Linked DNA regions of Stegostoma tigrinum. The protein of the gene in region 1 interacts with the protein of each later gene in a pairwise test. Links are inferred from orthologs where the notes say so. Each region holds a gene or a part of one and is shown on either strand. Other genes may lie near its edges.

The links.
Region 2: the proteins of plekha5 (region 1) and pdzd11 interact in binary tests that used the Homo sapiens proteins (3 or more experiments, as listed by UniProt). The two-hybrid records come from large-scale screens. The link is inferred for Stegostoma tigrinum from reciprocal best matches to the Homo sapiens genes PLEKHA5 and PDZD11.

Annotation. Positions count from the first base shown.
Region 1 is NC_081378.1:44,335,333-44,345,602, reverse strand, and holds the start of plekha5 (pleckstrin homology domain-containing family A member 5), read right to left. Parts: upstream 4,255-10,270; coding exon 4,169-4,254; exon of another isoform or gene 4,064-4,168; coding exon 3,987-4,063; exon of another isoform or gene 3,858-3,986; intron 1,522-3,857; exon of another isoform or gene 1,108-1,521; intron 782-1,107; coding exon 724-781; intron 1-723.
Region 2 is NC_081368.1:38,278,409-38,288,160, forward strand, and holds the start of pdzd11 (PDZ domain-containing protein 11), read right to left. Parts: upstream 4,364-9,752; 5' UTR 4,244-4,363; intron 1-4,243. UniProt on the Homo sapiens protein: Mediates docking of ADAM10 to zonula adherens by interacting with PLEKHA7 which is required for PLEKHA7 to interact with the ADAM10-binding protein TSPAN33.

The DNA.
Region 1 (10,270 bases):
ACAACTTAGTTGAGGAGCAGTATTAAAATAATTATTCCTATTAAGCACATACTCAGTTTGATTTAATAAGTCACAATTTTCAAACGTTCTTTTTTGGATTTTCCTTGATAACGCGAAGAAATAAACAAACAAACAGTCACTTCACTAGAAGCACAGAATCTGTAGCAAGCGCTTACAATTTGCAAATTATAGATCGATACCTAAAAAGGGATGACACCAGCTTTCTTTCTCTTTCTTCCCTTTCCCACAACAAAAAATACCATTCTTTCACAAATGATTGTAACAACACTGATCGCATTAAAACGAAGAAATGAAACAAGGGTAAAAGTTGGTTCGTTGCTGTATCACCGAATTAGAATGACCGAATCGAACACGTCACCGCTAGTAAACAAACCACTAGAAACCTGGCTGAGAATAACGACTGGCTGCAAGTTTAAATTCCGTCTGACGTTTTAGCGTCAGTTTTGAATGAAAGCATTGTTGGAACCGATGTCGAAATCAAACTGATGCGACACGCCCACCTCACACCAAACGCATAATCCACGCTTTGCAACTTTTTTTAAAAATGGCACACTTCGTAAGAGTCGCAAACACAACCAACAAAACTCGTATCCAATTGGAAAGACCACACAAACGTACGTACAAGATGGTCTGAGCTATCAGAGATTGCATAAAGCCCGTCACAAAGTCAATGGATCATAAACCTATTCTTGCGTTACTCACTTAATGTAGTATCGAGCCCCTTCGAAGGTGTATCCTTCTTCCCAACCGGTTGGGAGGTCTGCCGTGCGGAAAACAAAGACGGAAAAACTTAAGAAGACCAAGTAGTGAACATATAGTCTGCCTCTCCCCAATCCTTCTCCAATGGCAATTAAGCGCTCGAGATGAGGGGGTTAAGAGAAATATGTGGACTCGGGGTGAGAGACAGACGTGGGGGACAGAGAGATGTGGGGGAAATAAAATGGGGGAAGAGAAGAAGCAGGTGTAATGAGCTGGAGGTGGGATGTCCAAGAAGTGACTGGCGGGGGGCGGGCGTTCTTGAAGACAGACAGACAGACAGATAGATAGAAAGGGAAGGGTCTAGGCCCGAAACGTCAGCTTTTGTACTCCTAAGCTGCTGCTTGGCCTGCTGTGTTCAGCCAGCTCCACACTTTGTTATCTCGGATTCTCCAGCATCTGCAGTTCCCATTATCGCAGATGGAGAGATGTGGTTGGAGGAGATGTGATTTGGGGATGGGAGGGTCAGGATGTGGTGGTGAAGACAGGGAAGTGGGAAAAAGGTAAGAATGGGGGATTGAAGGTCCGAGGTGAGCGGGGAGAGGGATTTGTGGGTGGGATGGGGTGAGAGGGCAGAGGGATGTGCTGATGGGGATGGGGGCAGGTGGCAAGGTTGAGAGAGATGTGTGGATAGGGGTTGGGATGGGACAGGACAGTTGGGGATGGGAGTCAGGGTTGTCGTGGGGGTTGGTGCAGGCTTTAAGTGAAGATGTGGGGATTGGGTTGGAGATGGGGATTGGGTTGGAGATGGGGATCGGGGGGGGGGGACGGAGATGGGGATCGGGGGGGGGGGACGGAGATGGGGATCGGGGGGGGGGGACGGAGATGGGGATCGGGGGGGGGGGACGGAGATGGGGATCGGGGGGGGGGGGACGGAGATGGGGATGGGGGGGGGACGGAGATGGGGATGGGGGGGGACGGAGATGGGGATCGGGGGGGGGGGACGGAGATGGGGATCGGGGGGGGGGACGGAGATGGGGATGGGGGGGGGGACGGAGATGGGGATCGGGGGGGGGGGACGGAGATGGGGATCGGGGGGGGACGGAGATGGGGATCGGGGGGGGGACGGAGATGGGGATCGGGGGGGGGAGATGGGGATCGGGGGGGGGGAAACGGTGCTGGGGATCGGGGGGGGGAAACGGTGCTGGGGATCGGGGGGGGGAAACGGTGCTAGGGATCGGGGGGGGAACGGTGCTAGGGATCGGGGGGGACGGTGCTAGGGATCGGGGGGGGGACGGTGCTAGGGATCGGGGGGGGGGGGAGTGGGGATATTGGGGGGAGAGAGTGGAGAAAGAGGGAGTGGGGGGGGGGGAAGGAAGGTGGGGATCCGGGGAGGGAGAGAGAGAGGAGGTGGGGATCCGGGGAGGGGGGGAGGGAGTGGGGGGGGGGGGAAGGAAGGTGGGGATCCGGGGAGGGAGAGAGAGAGGAGGTGGGGATCCGGGGAGGGGGGGAGGGAGGGAGAGAGAGAGAGAGAGAGAGAGAGAGAGAGAGAGAGGAGGTGGGGATCCGGGGAGGGAGGGAGAGAGAGAGAGAGAGAGAGAGAGAGAGAGAGAGGGGAGGTGGGGATCCGGGGAGGGAGAGAGAGAGAGAGAGAGAGAGAGAGGGGAGGTGGGGATCCGGGGAGGGAGGGAGAGAGAGGAGGTGGGGATCCGGGGAGGGAGGGAGAGAGAGGAGGTGGGGATCCGGGGAGGGAGGGAGAGAGAGGAGGTGGGGATCCGGGGAGGGAGGGAGAGAGAGGAGGTGGGGATCCGGGGAGGGAGGGAGAGAGAGGAGGTGGGGATCCGGGGAGGGAGAGAGAGAGAGGAGGTGGGGATCCGGGGAGGGAGAGAGAGAGAGGAGGTGGGGATCCGGGGAGGGAGGGAGAGAGAGGAGGTGGGGATCCGGGGAGGGAGGGAGAGAGAGGAGGTGGGGATCCGGGGAGGGAGGGAGAGAGAGGAGGTGGGGATCCGGGGAGGGAGAGAGAGAGAGAGAGAGAGGGGAGGTGGGGATCCGGGGAGGGAGGGAGGGAGGGAGAGAGAGAGAGAGGAGGTGGGGATCCGGGGAGGGAGGGAGGGAGGGAGAGAGAGGAGGTGGGGATCCGGGGAGAGAGAGGAGGTGGGGATCCGGGGAGGGAGGGAGGGAGAGAGAGAGAGAGAGAGAGAGAGGAGGTGGGGATCCGGGGAGGGAGGGAGGGAGAGAGAGAGAGAGAGAGAGGAGGTGGGGATCCGGGGAGGGAGGGAGGGAGGGAGAGAGGGAGAGAGAGAGAGGAGGTGGGGATCCGGGGAGGGAGGGAGAGAGAGAGAGGAGGTGGGGATCCGGGGAGGGAGGGAGGGAGGGAGGGAGGGAGAGAGAGAGAGAGGAGGGGATCCGGGGAGGGAGGGAGAGGAGAGGAGGTGGGGATCCGGGGAGGGAGGGAGGGAGGGAGAGAGAGGAGGTGGGGATCCGGGGAGGGAGGGAGGGAGAGAGAGAGAGGAGGTGGGGATCCGGGGAGGGAGAGAGAGAGAGGAGGTGGGGATCCGGGGAGGGAGAGAGAGAGAGAGAGGAGGTGGGGATCCGGGGAGGGAGGGAGAGAGAGGAGGTGGGGATCCGGGGAGGGAGGGAGAGAGAGGCGGTGGGGATCCGGGGGGAGGGAGGGAGAGAGAGAGAGACGGTGGGGATCCGGGGGGAGGGAGAGAGAGAGACGGTGGGGATCCGGGGGGAGGGAGAGAGAGAGACGGTGGGGATCCGGGGGGAGGGAGAGAGAGAGACGGTGGGGATCCGGGGGGAGGGAGAGAGAGAGACGGTGGGGATCCGGGGGGAGGGAGGGAGAGAGAGAGAGAGAGAGGCGGTGGGGATCCGGGGGGGGGGGGTGGGAGAGAGAGTGTGGAGGTGGGGATCCGGGGGGGGGAGGAGAGAGAGTGTGGAGGTGGGGATCCGGGGGGGGAGGGGGGGGAGGGGGGGGAGGTGGGGATCCGGGGGGGGAGGGGGGGGAGGGGGGGGAGGTGGGGATCCCGGGGGGGAAGCTGGGGATCCGCGGGGGGAAGCTGGGGATCCGGGGGGAGAGCTGGGGATCCGGGGGGTGTGGAGGCGGGTATCGGGCTCGGAGTGCGGATACGGTCGGGGTGAATGCGGTGCCGAGGATGGAGATGGGGGTCGGAGTGTGGGGAGATGTGTCCTCTCCAGCCCCGGTCCCGGAGGTTGAGTTCGGGGCGGGGGGGGCGGGGGTTCGGTTTGCCTCTCCACCTCCCCACCTGGTGTTTTGCGGTGTCCGCTGATGACGGCCTCGCCGGTCGCTGGATGTAACCAGGTTGTTCTGTGCGCTTCTTCACTGTGTGTATGTGAGAGAGAGAGAGAGAAGACACGGTGAGTGTAGTTATAAACTCAAATGTCAGCTTTCCGTATCCGCCAAAGCCCAGCTGCCTCCGGTACTCACTCGATGAAGAAGATCCGTCCGTCCCGGGTGACCCCATGCGACCAGAAACTCGGCAGCCGGAGCCACTCGGACCTGTAATCCGCCATGTCTGGAACAGGCAGGCGGGGGTTGGAGGCGGCGGTAAGAGGAGGTGATTCCTGCGCGCCCCCGACGTTGTTCGGGTGGGCCCCGCCCCCCGCGCGGAAACGCGCACACACCCCAACCGTCATCGCGCGCGCTCCTCTTCACAGGTGGGCTGCGCGCGCGCGAAGCTGTGGGCGGGGCGAGGACACCGGCCCACTAGCGCAGGCCAGTCACTGGGACTCACTCCTGGACGTGACGGCGAGGGACACACCCTATACAGGTCACAGCAGCCCATTCACAGCCAACTGTAGGAGAAATACTACAGGTAACACCGGAAGGGACGCTGCCTACATGTAATGCTCGCAAGGACACTCCCTGAAGGTAACGTTAGCAGAGACACTTCCTATAGATAACAGCCAGCAAGGACATTCCCTAAAAGTCACACCAGCCCATCCACAGCCAGTTGTAGTGAGAGACTCAACAGGCAATTCAAGCAGAGATGGTCCCTACATTAACAGCAGCCCAGTAATGTCCAACTGGGGAAAAGGATATCCCATATATGTAACGCCTGCCTTTACACAGCTACATTTTTTCCTAGGATGGTGACGGCGAGCACGAGGGGGCACAGCTTTAAATTGAGGGGTGTCAGATATAGGACAGATGTCAGAGGGAGTTTCTTTACCCAGAGTAGTAAGGGAATGGAACGCTTTGCCTGCAACGGTAGTAGATTCGCCAACTTTAGGTACATTTAAGTCGTCGTTGGATAAGCATATGGACGTACATGGAATAATGTAGGTTAGATGGGCTTGAGATCGGTATGACAGGTCGGCACAACATCGAGGGCCGAAGGGCCTGTACTGTGCTGTAATGTTCTATGTTCTACTGTAGGGAGGGAAGCCTGTGTAGATAACACTAGCCTATCTGCACTGAATTTTAGGAAGGAGCACTCCCTACTGGTAATGCCAGCCCATCCACGCCCACTGAAGGGATGACTTTATCAGGAAGAATTTTATGTAGATAATCTACCTATTATGAATGCAGCTGTTTTTGTGATTTCCTTTACTGGGTAATTCATACCCATTTTGGAAGGGCATGCGAATAAAGAATCATTATACTACATCCATAAGAGGAATCCCTGCAGCAACATGACCAGCAGGTGCCAACTGCTGTGCACGACCTTGAACAATTGTGCCTGTCTCCATGAACGAGGCGGGATGAGGTAGATGCAAGTTTCGGAGCTCACAATAAGTGCAGTGCGCTACAGAACTCTTCAGAACTAGGCAGATACTAGTCCATTCCCATAAGAAACCTGCAGCAATACACACCCAAGACACGTTGTTATAACTGACATAATTGTTGTACTTGCTGTTCCCTGGCTGGCCTGTAGGGAGCAATAAAGTTAGTGCAAAAAAAAGATTGAAAGCAAAAACTCCAACAACGTACTTTCCAGAAGTATGGTTAAAAATGGAACTTGACAACAGCTTCACTAAAGATAGTGTAAAATAAAGTGAATTGTGGTTGATACTGTTTGTTATGGGCAAAACTGTTGTGTTTGGCAAAGTAAACACTTGTTAATGGCCGTAAATTACCTACAGTCCATCGTACTTTCCTGTTTAGCATTAGGACACATAACTTGCAGATTAACCAAACTCGGATATGTGAAGTTAACCCCATCTCCTGTGGGTGTAAATATCAAACATATTAAATTATAAGGGTTAATTTGCCCCCAGGTAATAAGATTTGTTCTTTCTTTGCTCTTCCTTTACTTGTATTGCAATATCAGCTGAAAAATCTAGCCATTTATATCCAACTCTGTCAGAGAAGGTGTAACCTACTGGCAAATATGATGGTACCTGTGTAGATGTCACACACACATCTGGCACACATCTGAGGAATTCCCGAGGTCAGTCTACAACCTGATCTGTGACATCCAAGGACAATTTGCTGGTTGCTAACACATTTGTATAAAGACAGCCCTCAGTGCACCCAGTGCATTTTACAGTAAACCAGCACAAGAGAAATGTGCAACTAACCATTTACAATAGAGTAGTGGAATCGTAATGAAACATCACAGTAACTACATTATTGTTGAGTCAAGACTTCCCAATATGTTGTGCGGTGTGCAAATAGTACAGCCATGGAAAATTAGCAGGTTCATCATATTACCATTTGCAGTCAAATTATTATCTTTGTCGCAATAGCATTTCTTTAAAAGTAGGATTTTCATCACTAAAGACTTTAACAGAATCAAAATTTCTAGGTATGAAAAAACAACCTAAAGCTTCTTGGTACTGACTTACGATTAATTGGACCAATGGGTTCATGCAAGTGTTTATGCTGCACTTGTGCCTTCCCCAAATGTTTCCTCATCAAAATCTATTATTGTAAATCTCTATTCCCTAACCCTGATATGCTTGTCTCGGTTCTCTTGAAATGAATGCATATTTTTCACTTCATCTACACTTTGTGGTCTGAGTTCCACATTCTCACTACTCATTTCACAAAGAAGTTTCTTCTGAATTCCTATTGGATTTCTTGGTGACAATATTTTTGATGGCCTCTAAAAAATGAAAGATTCTGTCTGAATCCACTTTATAAAAACAGTTAATCAATCTAAAAACTTCTAAACTAAAAATGTTTCTTTCACAAGGGAGTGTCTCAACATTTCAACCCTTTCATGATTCGTATCTTCCTTGTAAAACTGCTGTTTGCCCTTTTAGTTTGTCGGTATCCTTTTTGTAATGTTGCAGCAAAATGCAAGTTTAGCATGCTTTCCCTATTCTTCAGTTCTGTCCCACTTAAGTAGCAGTTAGTGATTGGCTGTCCATGCACAAGGAACAGGTGAAGGACTGTAAATACAATTTTTTCAAGAGTCTGATCTAGTAATTTGTTTAATCATAGAACTTGGAAGAATATTGAAAAGTATTTTCTCCAGAGTTGCAAAGGCAGGTTTACAATCTGCCAATTATAACTTCAATGTCTATCATCAAATAAAATAGCTTGATAATTGTCAGTCTTGAGCTTTGACCGTCTTTGTTTAAGATTCAAGTTAGACAGCAACATTACAACTGTTTCTTCTGTGAGCCAATGTTTGTCCAGTGACATGCCCATTGGAATTGGACTGTGTAGGTATTTTGAAGGGTATTGACAGTGAACATTTTCTTTGTCTATAGCATCCACACAGATGTATTCTTTCAATTTACCTGACAACTATTTCTAAAACATTTCATGCAAACTCTAGTGAATCTTCATTAAAATAATAATTACTCAAATAATTGTCTTTAACAGAAGTCAGACTAGTGATTCTTCAAAGTACCCTTCTGGCTGCCATCAACTCAAAACAACTGATGTTTTTATGAAGGGTCTAGGCCCGAAACGTCAGCTTTTGTGCTCCTGAGATGCTGCTTGGCCTGCTGTGTTCATCCAGCCTCACATTTTATTATCTTGGAATCTCCAGCATCTGCGGTTCCCATTATCTCTGATGTTTTTACTCACCTCATAATGGCTACTATTCATCCTACTCCAGTGAGGTTTTTGGGCTAGCGTTTGAGCCAGTCGGTAATGCTGCTGTATTGTGCACAAAATTGTTTGCTACCATAAAATAAGATCTGTACATCAAAAATAATTTCTTTGTTTGTGAACTTCTATGAGCAAGTGACAAGGCTCAACATAGTTGCAAGTCCATTATTAAACTTGGAGACTGAGTACTTGCCTTAATATCAAGATTATCTTCAAATAAACAAATGGAGAAAAGATCTATCCGGGATGTTCATAGTCTCACTAACAAATGGTATTTCAGAGTTAAAATATATCGAGTAGGAAAATCCTGCATAATATAAAACAAAGCTGTTAATAGGCAATTTACAAACAGCAACTGGGTTGAATGACGAGTTCATGAGTTTCCAGTGCATTTGGCAAGAATGCAGCAAGACTGTCATGTGAACTAAAGTACCCAAATTTATTGAGAATCATTTTTTTTTAAAAAATGTTCATTCATTTCATTGATGAACTTTTTATAAATAATAATGTGCTGATTAATTAGTCATTTAATTAGAAACATAGCTGATTTGGTGGTGGTAAAAACAATGCAAAGTGCATAAAAGGATGATTGAAAGACGACCTTACACACAAACACAAAAATAAGAGACACTTGTTTGCTTTTCAATATCTACAGCAGTATACCAGCAACTTTTCTGAATAGTTAACTTTTCCAACCCTTCTGTAACAGTGCATCCAAATCTTGATTTGCTCAGCAGATTAAAGCTATGACATTCAATCAAGTTGTCATATATTTCAATGGGTTAACAATTTATTTCAATTGTTTTTCTCATTTAAACTTTCTACGCAGGAAAAGAAGGTTTGTAGGCTACAGGAAAGATTGGGGAGTTGGGCAAGCTAAACTGGCCTTGCAGAGAACTGGCATGGACTCAACAAGCCAAATGGTTTCTTTCTGTTCTGTAATCATCCTGTGTTCTCATTCATGATTCATTTTTAGCAGCTTGATTTTAACCATTGTGCATAGGCCATAACAAGACACTGCAGTGCAAGACAACAAGAATACTAACGCCTGTGATCATTTCAAAGAGCAAGTGAAAAATAATTTACTGCAATCACTTAGGCGTGCTACTTAATTATGCTAGCAATCAGTTTAGAGTGTTTTTTTATTGAAAATCAGTGCAATGAGCCAAGATCCATGCTGCAGGGCATCACAAAGATTGAAAACAGTAACAACATCTGTTTAAAAGTGACAAAATGATTAAAATAACAATTTCCACACTGAATAGTCAATTGGTACTTTTTTGCAGGATGTTATGAATTCTAAAATTTTCGTAAATAAATACTCCTTTGCTCAGAAGCTGATATACTATAGACTTCTGAATGTAACAGATCTCCGTCTGAGTGTCTGTTTTGTCTTATCAATGGTTCTGTTTTTGTTCATTTTCAATGCCTGTTTATAATCTTATGGTAAGATAATAATCAAAGTTTTTTTTGTATGCTAGTTCTGTTTTCACTCAAGATGTACGTTGTCACCTGATTTCCAGAATAACTTTCAATTTTCAATGCCTGTTCAAAGTGATTTGATATGCTGCGCTTCAAATTATAAATCGTGGGTAAGAACCTGTTTGATATTTCTGCAGACAAAATGGCAAGCAAAGAGATCTGCAAATGCTAAGCTTGAGGACAATATTCATTAGGAAGGCTACGATACAATACTAGAGTTAAACATTACAACAAAATGATTCTCAGCATGGAAAAGCCTGGGAGATTATCATGTGTTGAACTCCCTCAAATAGGTTATTCTGTGTATTATTAAATGCAATTGATTTATGGAGTATGATCTGTTGACTCAGAATTATCTTGTTTAAGCACTGCCTTTTGCTTGGTCTCTCTGGATTGAGGATGAATTGCTTTTCCTCTGTTCGATAGTTTTTAGGATGGTTGCTAAGTCCAAGGTGCAATCTGAAATCTCTGCTGCCCGTGGTCCTTGAAAATTTGGGTAGATGGGTTATTATCAGTGCTGTTGCACTGTCACTGATGCATCAGGTTTGCCCCTACATGCTCTTGACAAAGTCTATTAGTGTTTTCTGTACCCTACCAAATATGCCATATTTATTTCGGTTAGTCACGAAGCAGGTTCTGCCATGACTCAACAGTTATGTTTGTCTTTTTTCAGGGTGGTTTGAATGTGTCCCTCAAGTGTTTCTGCTAGTCTCCTTTGGCACCTCCTACTGCAACCACGTTCCAAGTAGAGCACTGTTTTGTGAGCCTGGCCTCATGCCTACAAACAGCATGCCCTGCCCAGTAGGTTTGAGCGATTAGTTGGCTTCGGGAGGACACTGCTGTTGGACATTGTACTGGATTCAGAAGATCTGCAATGGCATTGCTGGCACTACTTTTTAAATCTGACTGCTATACGTTTTCCACGTCTGTGCAGGTTATAGGAGCATGGCGATGCTGCTACCGTGACTTTAGTCTCAGATTATGCATCTTCATCCTCAAGTACTCTTTTCCTGCATCATCCAAAGGCTGAGCTGATAC
Region 2 (9,752 bases), on another chromosome or scaffold:
AATATTCAAAATAGAAGTGCAAAGAAATTAGACTTCCTTCAACTTGGGTGTAATTAGGCACCTTATGGTTTATCCAGAAAGCTGGGCTGGGTTGAGCTAAGCTTATAATTCCCACTGACACAGTACCTTGAGCTTTATTAATACGGACAGAGCAAAAGAGCAAGGAGGTTATGCTGAACTTGCATAAACCAAATGTTAGACCTCAACTAGACTATCATGTACTGTTCTGAGCTGTAGTAAAGATTTGAATGCATTGGAGAGTGCAGAAAACATTTATAACAATGGCTGAGGTATTTCAGTTACAAGGATAGTTTGGAGAAATTGTGGTGTTCTTCCTGGAGAGAACTTGAAAGTAAAGTTGCCACAATCATACCAGACTAAAGGGCTGTTCTCTCACCAGAAAGAGACAACTAGTGATTGTTTGATTTGAGGGCTGCCACGTCTCAGGCAAGTGGAGAGGCTAAGAAGGAGGCTTCCATCGTAACCTGGTGGACGAATTGAACCCCATGTGATCTGTATCACTCTGCATTACAAACCAGCCATGCAACCATTTGAACAAAATCGATACCTAACGACAAATGCCCATCCAAATTCTGCTCAATTTTCCATTTCCTTGTTTGAGCACTTAGTATGCCAAGTGAATTTCATAACCCTACTTTATTTCCTTTCTGCTTGTCTGGGCAAACAGTTATGGTTTGATATTGAGGTTACCAATCAATTCAATGACTTCAGGTAGTGCATCATGAATACCTGTGAGGCCACTAGGAATGATCTCGCAAGGAAGGTGTTCAGTGTGTGCACAATAGTCTGATTTGGATGTCCATAGTTGAGCTTTTCCCTTGTTTCATTTGTGCTGTAGGTGGCCATATTTTCTCTGGACCATTCTCAAACAGTTGAAGTTTATTCAAATTTTCTTTGAAAATTGATACCTGAGACTTCACTTGTGATGTGATTGAAGACAGGAATAGTTTTTAGTGAGTTATCTTGTGCCAATGACAGTGCAGGGCACAGGTAGACTACTGAAACTCCCCAAAACCTTACAGCTACTTCCATCCTCCTGGCATCTCTTGGGGCAGCATGATGGCTCACTGATTAGCACTGCTGCCTCACACCACCAGGGGCCTGGCTTCAATTTCACCCTTGGGCGACTGCCTGTATGCAGTGTGCATGTTCGCCATGTATGCATGGGCTTCCTCCCACAATCTAAATATGTACAAGTTAGGAGAATTGCCCAGGCTAAATTGCTCCAAAGCATACAGGCCAAGTGAATTGGCCATGGGAAACGCCGGGTTACCAGGTTGGGGGCCTGGGTAGGATCCTCCTCTTCGGAGAGTTGGTGTAGATCTGATAGGCGAATAGCCTGCTTCCACATTATAGGGATTCTAACTAATCACCTACCTGATCAGGCAGTTCCATGTGAAACTTCGAATCAAATCAGCTTCCCACACATAACTGCACATGCTCCCACAAGGATCAGTCCTCAAATCAGCTCTCTTCAACATATACCAATGACCTCCATCCCACAAAAGTCACACCTGGACTATCTCTAGCAACTCCCTCACCTTCCTGGACATGTCTGTCTCCAGCTCGAGCAACTACCAAGAAACCAATATCCATTTCAAGCCCACCGACTCCCACATCCACCTAGAATACACCTCCTCCCACCCACCTTCCTGCAAAAATGCCATCCGCTATTCCCAATCCTTCGCTTCTGCCGCATCTGCTCCCAGGATGAGGCATTCCACTCCCGCACATCTCAGATGTCCTCATTTTTCAAGGACTGCAACTTCCCACCCGCAGTGTTCGAGAATGCCCTCAACCATGTCTCCCGCATTTCCCACAACTGATCCCTCACACCCCGTCCCCGCAATAACAATCTAAAAAAGAATCCCCCTCGTCCTCACATACCACCCCACCAACGTCGGGATCTAACACATCATCCTCCGACATTTCCGCCATCTGCAATCTGACCCCACCACCAAAGACATTTTTCCCTCCCCACCCTTGTCTGCTTTCCGAAGGGACCACTTTCTCAGGTGACTCCCTTGTCCGCTCCACACTCCCCTCCAGCCCTACCACACTCAGCATTTTTCCCTGCAACCGCAGGAAGTGCTACACCTGCTCCCACACCTCCTTCCTCACACCCATCTCAGACCCCAAGAAGACCTTCCACATCAAGCAGATGTTCACCTGCACATCTGCTTACGTGGTATACTGCATCTGCTGTACCCGTTATGGCCTCCTCTACATCGGGGAAACCAAGCGGATGCTTGGGGACTGCTTTGCAGAACACCTACGCTCGGTTCGCAATAAACAACTGTACATCCCAGTTGCGAACCATTTCAACTCCCCCTCCCATTCCTCCGATGACATGTCCATCCTGGGCCTCCTGCAGTGCCACAACGATGCCACCCGAAGGTTGCAGGAACAGCAACTCATATTCCACTTGGGAGCCCTGCAGCCCAATGGTATCAATGTGGATTTCACAAGCTTCAAAATCTCTCCTCCCCCTACCACATCCCAAAACCAGCCCAGCTCGTCCCCACCTCCCTAACCTGTTCTTCCTCTCACCCATCCCCTTCTCCCCCTCAAGCTGCACCCCCATTTCCTACCTACTAACCTATCTCCTCCCTACCTCCCCACCTACACTCACCTTTACTGGCTCCATCCTCACCTGTTTGACTTGTGTCTCCTCTCCACCTATCTTCTCCTCACTCCATCTTCAATCTGCCTCCCCCCTCTCTTCCTATTTATTTCAGAACCCTCTTCCCCTCCCTCATTTCTGATGAAGGGTCTAGGCCCAAAACATCAGCTTTCCTGCTCCTAAGCTGCTGCTTGTCCTGCTGTGTTCATCCAGCTCTACAACTTGTTATCTCACAGTCTTTCACATTTTTGATCTGAGTTTTCCATGCTAAAGAAACTCCAGGATGTTGAGAAAACAATCTGAAGATTAATGTTTGTTGGAAGACTCAGAAAATAAAATATCCAGGATTCTAAAGGAACTTGACAGGGTAAATGCTGAGAGGATACTGTCCTCCATGGGAGAGATGGGACCAAAGTGCATTGTCTCAGAATAAAGGAACATCAATTAAGACTGGGATGAGGAGGAACTTTTTTCACTCAGAGGACTGTGTGTCTTTGGATATCCTTGCCACAGAGAGCTGTGGGGGCATTGTCCTAACATGTGTTTTAAGACTAAGATCTTGATCAGTAGGGAAATCAAGCACTTAGAGAAAACACAGGAACATGGACGTGATGAATGTTAGAGCAGCCATAATCCTATTGAATGGTGCAGTAGGCTAGAGGTCAGTCTACTGTTCCTACTTCCTTTGTCGAGGAACCACAGGAGTTTCTTATGAAATTAATTGGCATTGTAATCCCTCCATCAATAGCAAAACGGTAAACAATAATGAATTAACACAAAAGAAAAGTACAGAAGCTGTAAATCTTAAACAGTAGAGTGTACATCAAATCCCTCTGTCCTGAGGGTCACCAGACTCAAAACATTAACTCTGACTTCTCTCCACAAATGCTGCCAGATCTGCCAAGCTTTTCCAGTAATTTCTGTTTTTGTTTCAGATTTACAGCAGCTGCAGTTCTTTCGATTTCTACTGTTATGCCTTTATTGTGCTCACCTACATTTACTATTTTTAGTCAGTTGCCTGGCCTTTTAATGTCACATCCTATTCTAAAATTAGCCAAAGTGAGCAAAGAATTACTTCTTCTCCTGCAAGCGCCACATTCCAGGTTCTTTAGTTGATGTTTCAGCAATTTGACGTTTAAAATATCTATTTCCTTTCTTCGAATTTATTGTACACATTCAATTTTCGTCAGCAGAAAACGTCCGAGGAGTAGCATAATCTGTCCCCTCTACAGCCGCAAGCGTTTCCACGATTTGTTTTTTAAAATAAAATCTGCGTAGAAATCCGGCTAGCACACAGGCCGCAGCCTGTTAAAGTGCAGCAATTTAAATTTACTTTAATGCCAGTTATCAGAAATACCGAGAGGGGTATGACCTATCTTCCAAGCTGAGTGGGGCTGGCCACATAAACATAGTAACGCCGCGGGTTTGTTTATAAAGCACTAAACAAGGCAAAGAGGCGGGAATCGAAAAGGAAATTTCCCGAAACGCAACTTTTTTCCGAATTTCTGGGAAACAAGGCCTGGAGCTCAGATCAACATCATTCCGGGCAGGAGGCTGACCACAGCCTGAAAAGGACCAGGACAGCCACGACAAACTAACCGTTACCTCGGGATACCCCCGCCACTCCGTGCAGGACCCGCAGTGACCCACAGCCGGCCGTTAATCACGTGACTACAATTTGACCTCGGCGGTGACGGTTTCACCAAAATACAGGGAATGGAGGCGGGGCCTGAGTGTGGGGGCGGGGCCTGGATCGACCGGCTTGTTGTGGACAATATTAGTCTTCCATCAATATTGTCAAGCTTTCCATTGACTGCCACTTCACACGGCACGTGGTCTCATGGCCACAGTTCTGTTTATCAGCACTATTGACAACACCTGCCATCATTTTACTGATCAGAGATAATGGGAACTGCAGATGCTGGAGATTCCAAGATAATAAAATGTGAGGCTGGATGAACACAGCAGGCCAAGCAGCATCTCAGGAGCACAAAAGCTGACGTTTCGGGCCTAGACCCTTCATCAGAGAGGGTCTGATGAAGGGTCTAGGCCCGAAACGTCAGCTTTTGTGCTCCTGAGATGCTGCTTGGCCTGCTGTGTTCATCCAGCCTCACATTTTATTATCATTTTACTGATAACTGAATTAGCTTTATTGTCACAACTACTTAAATGAGTAGTGAAAAGTTTATAGTCGCTGCCTCGCAGCACCATCTTTAGTACAGATAGTTAAGATGAAACGCAGAGGAAACAAAAAAAGTAAAAACGAATAGTCTAGCATTATTTCTTTTCTTAATTTTTTTCTTCCTTCTACTCAGAGGAAAAAATTAAGAATATATCAGTCTTTCCAACCCTGTACCTGTCAGGGAGATCACTTCCTTCGTCACAACCTGTGCCAGACCCAGCACCAGCACCCTAGGAGTTACCCCACTTTAGACACCATATCTTTGTCACTGGGCCTACTTAACCCACATTCACGCTGCAACCATGACCACCTTGCACCATTGTCAGGCTACAAGTCCCACTTTACCTGATGTCACATTTCAAGATGGCACACTAGCAGGGTCACTGCTGCTAGCATCTCTCTCTCTCTCTCTCTCTCACACACACACACACACGGATTTGCTGCCGTAGGCCCTGAATGCTGACAGAAGTGACTCACTGCCCCTGGCCTTCTGTTACAAGGGAATATCCTTGCTGTCTCTGAGCACCTGGGAGAATGTTCTCAATGTCACCAACTATTGCCAGAAGTCACATCCACTACTTCACATGTACCTTGTTATGCTTCCCCCACCCCCCACCATGGCACATTGGTTGGCAGCACTGGTATGGTAGCAAAAGAAAAGAGTGGAAACAAAAACAAGACAAAGAAAGAAAGTGGCTTCAGACAAGAGATCACATAGAACATAGAACAGTACAGCACAGAACAGGCCCTTCAGCCCACAATGTTGTGCCAACCATTGATCCTCATGTATGCACCCTCAAATTTCTGTGACCATATACATGTCCAGCAGTCTCTTAAATGACCCCAATGACCTTGCTTCCACAACTGCTGCCGGCAACGCATTCCATGCTCTCACAACTCTCTGCGTAAAGAACCTGCCTCTGACATCCCCTCTATACTTTCCACCAACCAGCTTAAAACTATGACCCCTCGTGCTAGCCATTTCTGCCCTGGGAAATAGTCTCTGGCTATCAACTCTATCTATGCCTCTCATTATCTTGTATACCTCAATTAGGTCCCCTCTCCTCCTCCTTTTCTCCAATGAAAAGAGACCGAGCTCAGTCAACCTCTCTTCATAAGATAAGCCCTCCAGTCCAGGCAGCATCCTGGTAAACCTCCTCTGAACCCTCTCCAAAGCATCCACATCTTTCCTATAATAGTGTAGCCCTGTTCTCTGCCTCCACTTTGAACCAGATTGAGGGTAGACTAACAGAGCAGTTATTGTGGATGTGAGTTTGCGCGCTGAGCTGGAAGGTTCGTTTTCAGACATTTCGTCACTTTTTTTTAAATTTAAAAAAATATACTTTATTCATAGAATGTACAAAAAAAAACATTTATACACCTACCCAGTCATGCAAGCCACTCCGGGTTACCCGGGGGTACGTACACCAACTAAAAGGAAAAAACAAAACAGAGGAAACAAAAAACAAAGCAAAGAAACCACCCTGGCAGTCGTCACCCCGCACAGTCCCAGTTGGCCCCCTGACCAGTTGGAGAAGGCGCCAGCTAGGCCCAGTTACAAGATAGGGTTCTTTTTCCTATTCTGGACGAGGGGTTTCATACCGTGGTCTTTCCCCACCGCACCTTGGCGGCGGCTGCCCCAAGCTTTAGCACGCCCCTCAGCACGAAGTCCTGGACCTTGGAGTGCGCCAGTCTGCAACACTCGGTCAGGGTCAGTTCTTTCAGCTGGCAGACCAGTAAGTTGCGGGCAGACCAAAGAGCGTCTTTCACCGCATTGATGGTCCTCCAGGCGCAGTTGATGTTGGTCTCGGTGTGCGTCCCCGGAAACAGCCCTAAAAAGCACGGAGTCCCGCGTCACGGAGCTGCTCGGGACGAACCTCGACAAATACCACTGCATCCCCCTCCAGACCTCCTGCGCATAGGCACACTCCAGAAGGAGGTGATCGACAGTCTCGTCCCCCCCGCAGCCACCTCGAGGGCAGCGTGCGGTGGTGCAGAGATTCCGGGCATGCATAAAGGATCTCACTGGCAGAGCCCCTCTCACCGCCAGCCGAGCAATGTCCTTGTGCTTGTTTGAAAGTTCTGGCGATGAGGCATTCTGCCAAACGACTTTAGCAGTCTGCGTGGGGAACCACACGACGGGATCCACCCTCTCCTTTTCCCGAAGGGTCCCGAGGATACGACGTGCTGACCACTGCCTGACGGCCTTGCGGTCAAAGGTGTTTCCTTTCAAAAATTTCTCCATGAAGGACAGGTGGTACGGAACGGTCCAACTACTCAGAGCGTTCCGCGGCAACGAGGCCAGGCCCATCCTTCGCAACACTGGGGACAGGTAGAACCTCAGTAAGTAGTGACACTTGGTGTTTGCGTACTGAGGATCTACGCACAGCTTGATGCAGCCGCACACAAAGGTAGCCGTCAGGGCGAGGGTGGCGTTCGGTACGCCCTTTCCCCCATTTCCCAGGTCTTTGTACATGGTGTCCCTGTGGACCCGGTCCATCCTCGACCCCCAAATGAAGTGGAAGATGGCCCGGGTGACTGCAGCGGCGCAGGTCCAGGGAATAGGCCAGGCCTGCGCCACATACAACAGTACCGAAAGCCCCTCGCACCTGACAACCAGGTTCTTACCCGCGATGGAGGGGGACCGGAGCGTCCACCTGCCCAGCTTCTGCTTCAATTTGGTGATACGCTCCTCCCAAGTCTTAGTGCACGCCCCAGCTCCACCAAACCAAACACCCAGCACCTTCAGGTAGTCTGTCCTGACGGTGAAGGGGATGAAGGAGCGGTCGTCCCAGTTCCCAAAGAACATGACCTTGCTCTTACCCCTATTGACTTTGGCACCCGAGGCCAGTTCAAACTGGCCGCAGATGTCCAGTCTACTCACTGACCGACAATCGGTGCAGAAGACGGCGACATCGTCCATGTACAGGGAGGTCTTGACCTGAAGGCCTCCGCTGCCTGGGATAGTCACGCCCTTCAGGCTCACGTCTTTCCTGATGGAGGCGGCGAAGGGCTCCACACAGCACACGAACAAGGCAGGAGAGAGCGGGCAGCCCTGCCTGACTCCAGATCTAACAGGAAAACTGTCTGATTCCCACCCGTTGATCGAGACTGCGCTAACGATGTTGGCGTAGAGCAGCCGGATCCAATTGCGGATGCCCTCCCGAACCCCAATTTGGAGAGGACGTCCCTCATGTAAGCATGAGAGACCCTGTCGAAGGCCTTCTCCTGGTCCAGGCTGACGAGGCAGGTGTCCACCCGCCTGTCCTGTACGTAGGCGATCGTATCCCTGATGAGCGCGAGGCTCTCAGCAATCTTCCTGCCTGGCACAGCACAGGTTTGGTCAGGGTGAATCACTGACTCTAGGACAGACCTGACCCGGTTGGCTATGACCTTGGCCAGGATTTTGTAGTCCACGTTCAATAATGAAATGGGACGCCAATTCTTAATTTCTTCCCTCTCCCCCTTCCTCGTGTAAATGAGGGTGATGATGCCCTTCCTCATGGACTTGCACATTTCCCCTGCCCGAAGCGCGCTATCGTACACCTCCAGCAGGTCTTGGCCGACCAGGCCCCACAGAGCGGAATACAGCTCGACCGGTAAGCCATCGCTTCCGGGAGTCCTATTCCTCCCCAAGGACTTGAGGGCTCTGACCAGCTTGTCCAGGGATATCGACCGGTCCAGCCACTCCCTCGTGCCGTCGTCCAAGACCTCCGTGATAGACGACAGGAACGACTCGGAGGCCGTGCTGTCCGTGGGCTTCGTGTCGTACAGTCCGGCATAGAAGGATCTGCTGATCCTCAAAATGTCGGGCTGCGACGACGTCACCGAGCCGTCATCCTCCTTCAGCCGGCTAAGCACAGAGCTCTCTTTGTGCACCTTCTGAAAGAAGAAACGCAAGCATGTCTTGTCCTGCTCCACGGAGCGGTCCCTGGACCGGAAGATTATCCTGGAGGCCTCCGCGGCGAAGAGCGAGGCTTGCTGGCCCCTCACCTCGCGGAGGTCCTCCGTGACATCGACCCCCATCAACTGCAGAAGGAGCAGGTTCTGCACCCTTTTCTGGAGTTGCGACAGCTTTCCCCGCCTCTCTCTTGCCTTCTGAACACCCTTGAGGGCAAAGAACCTCTTGATGTTCTCCTTCACCGTCTCCCACCAGTCGCCTGGACACTCAGAGGGATTTCACGGTTCTCCAACCGGCGTACTCCCTCTTAAGCTCCTCGACGTTCTCTGGGGTCAACAGAGTCGTGTTGAGCTTCCACGTCCCCTTGCCTGCCGGCTGGTCGTCCTGTAGGTGACAGTCGGCCAGCAGGAGGGAGTGGTCAGAGAAGAACACCGGCTCGACGCCGGTGGGCCTGACCGAGAATGTCCGTGACACAAACAGGAAGTCTATCCTTGAGCGGATAGACCCGTCTGGCCGCGACCAGGTGTACCTCTGCTGCGCTCTGTCTGCAGGGGTGCTGAAGACGTCGAGCAGCTTGGCGCCCTTCACCGTGCCCATCGGGAATCTGGACGTGATGTCCAGTTGACTCCCCCCACCCGCTGTCCCCACGCCGGATCTTCCATCTGCATCAATGATGCAGTTGAAGTCTCTGCCTAGGATGACCGGCCTGGGACGTAGCCAGCAGGGGTGGAAGCCGCTGCAGGACGGCCAACCGCTCACTCCGTACCGCTGGGGCGTACACATTGATCAGCCTCAGGGGAGCGTTCCTATAGGTGATGTCAGCCACTAGGAGGTGCCCCCCCACCACCTCCTGAACTTGAGAGATGGTGAAGTTGCGCCCCTGCAGCAGAATAGCCAGATCCGAGGAGCGACAGTCGTTACCCCCCCGACCAGATCGAAGGCCCACAGGTCCAGGCGCCGGACCATTTCCCGTACCTGCTGAGGTGCGGTATCCCACACTCCTGCAGAAACAGGAGGTCCGCCTT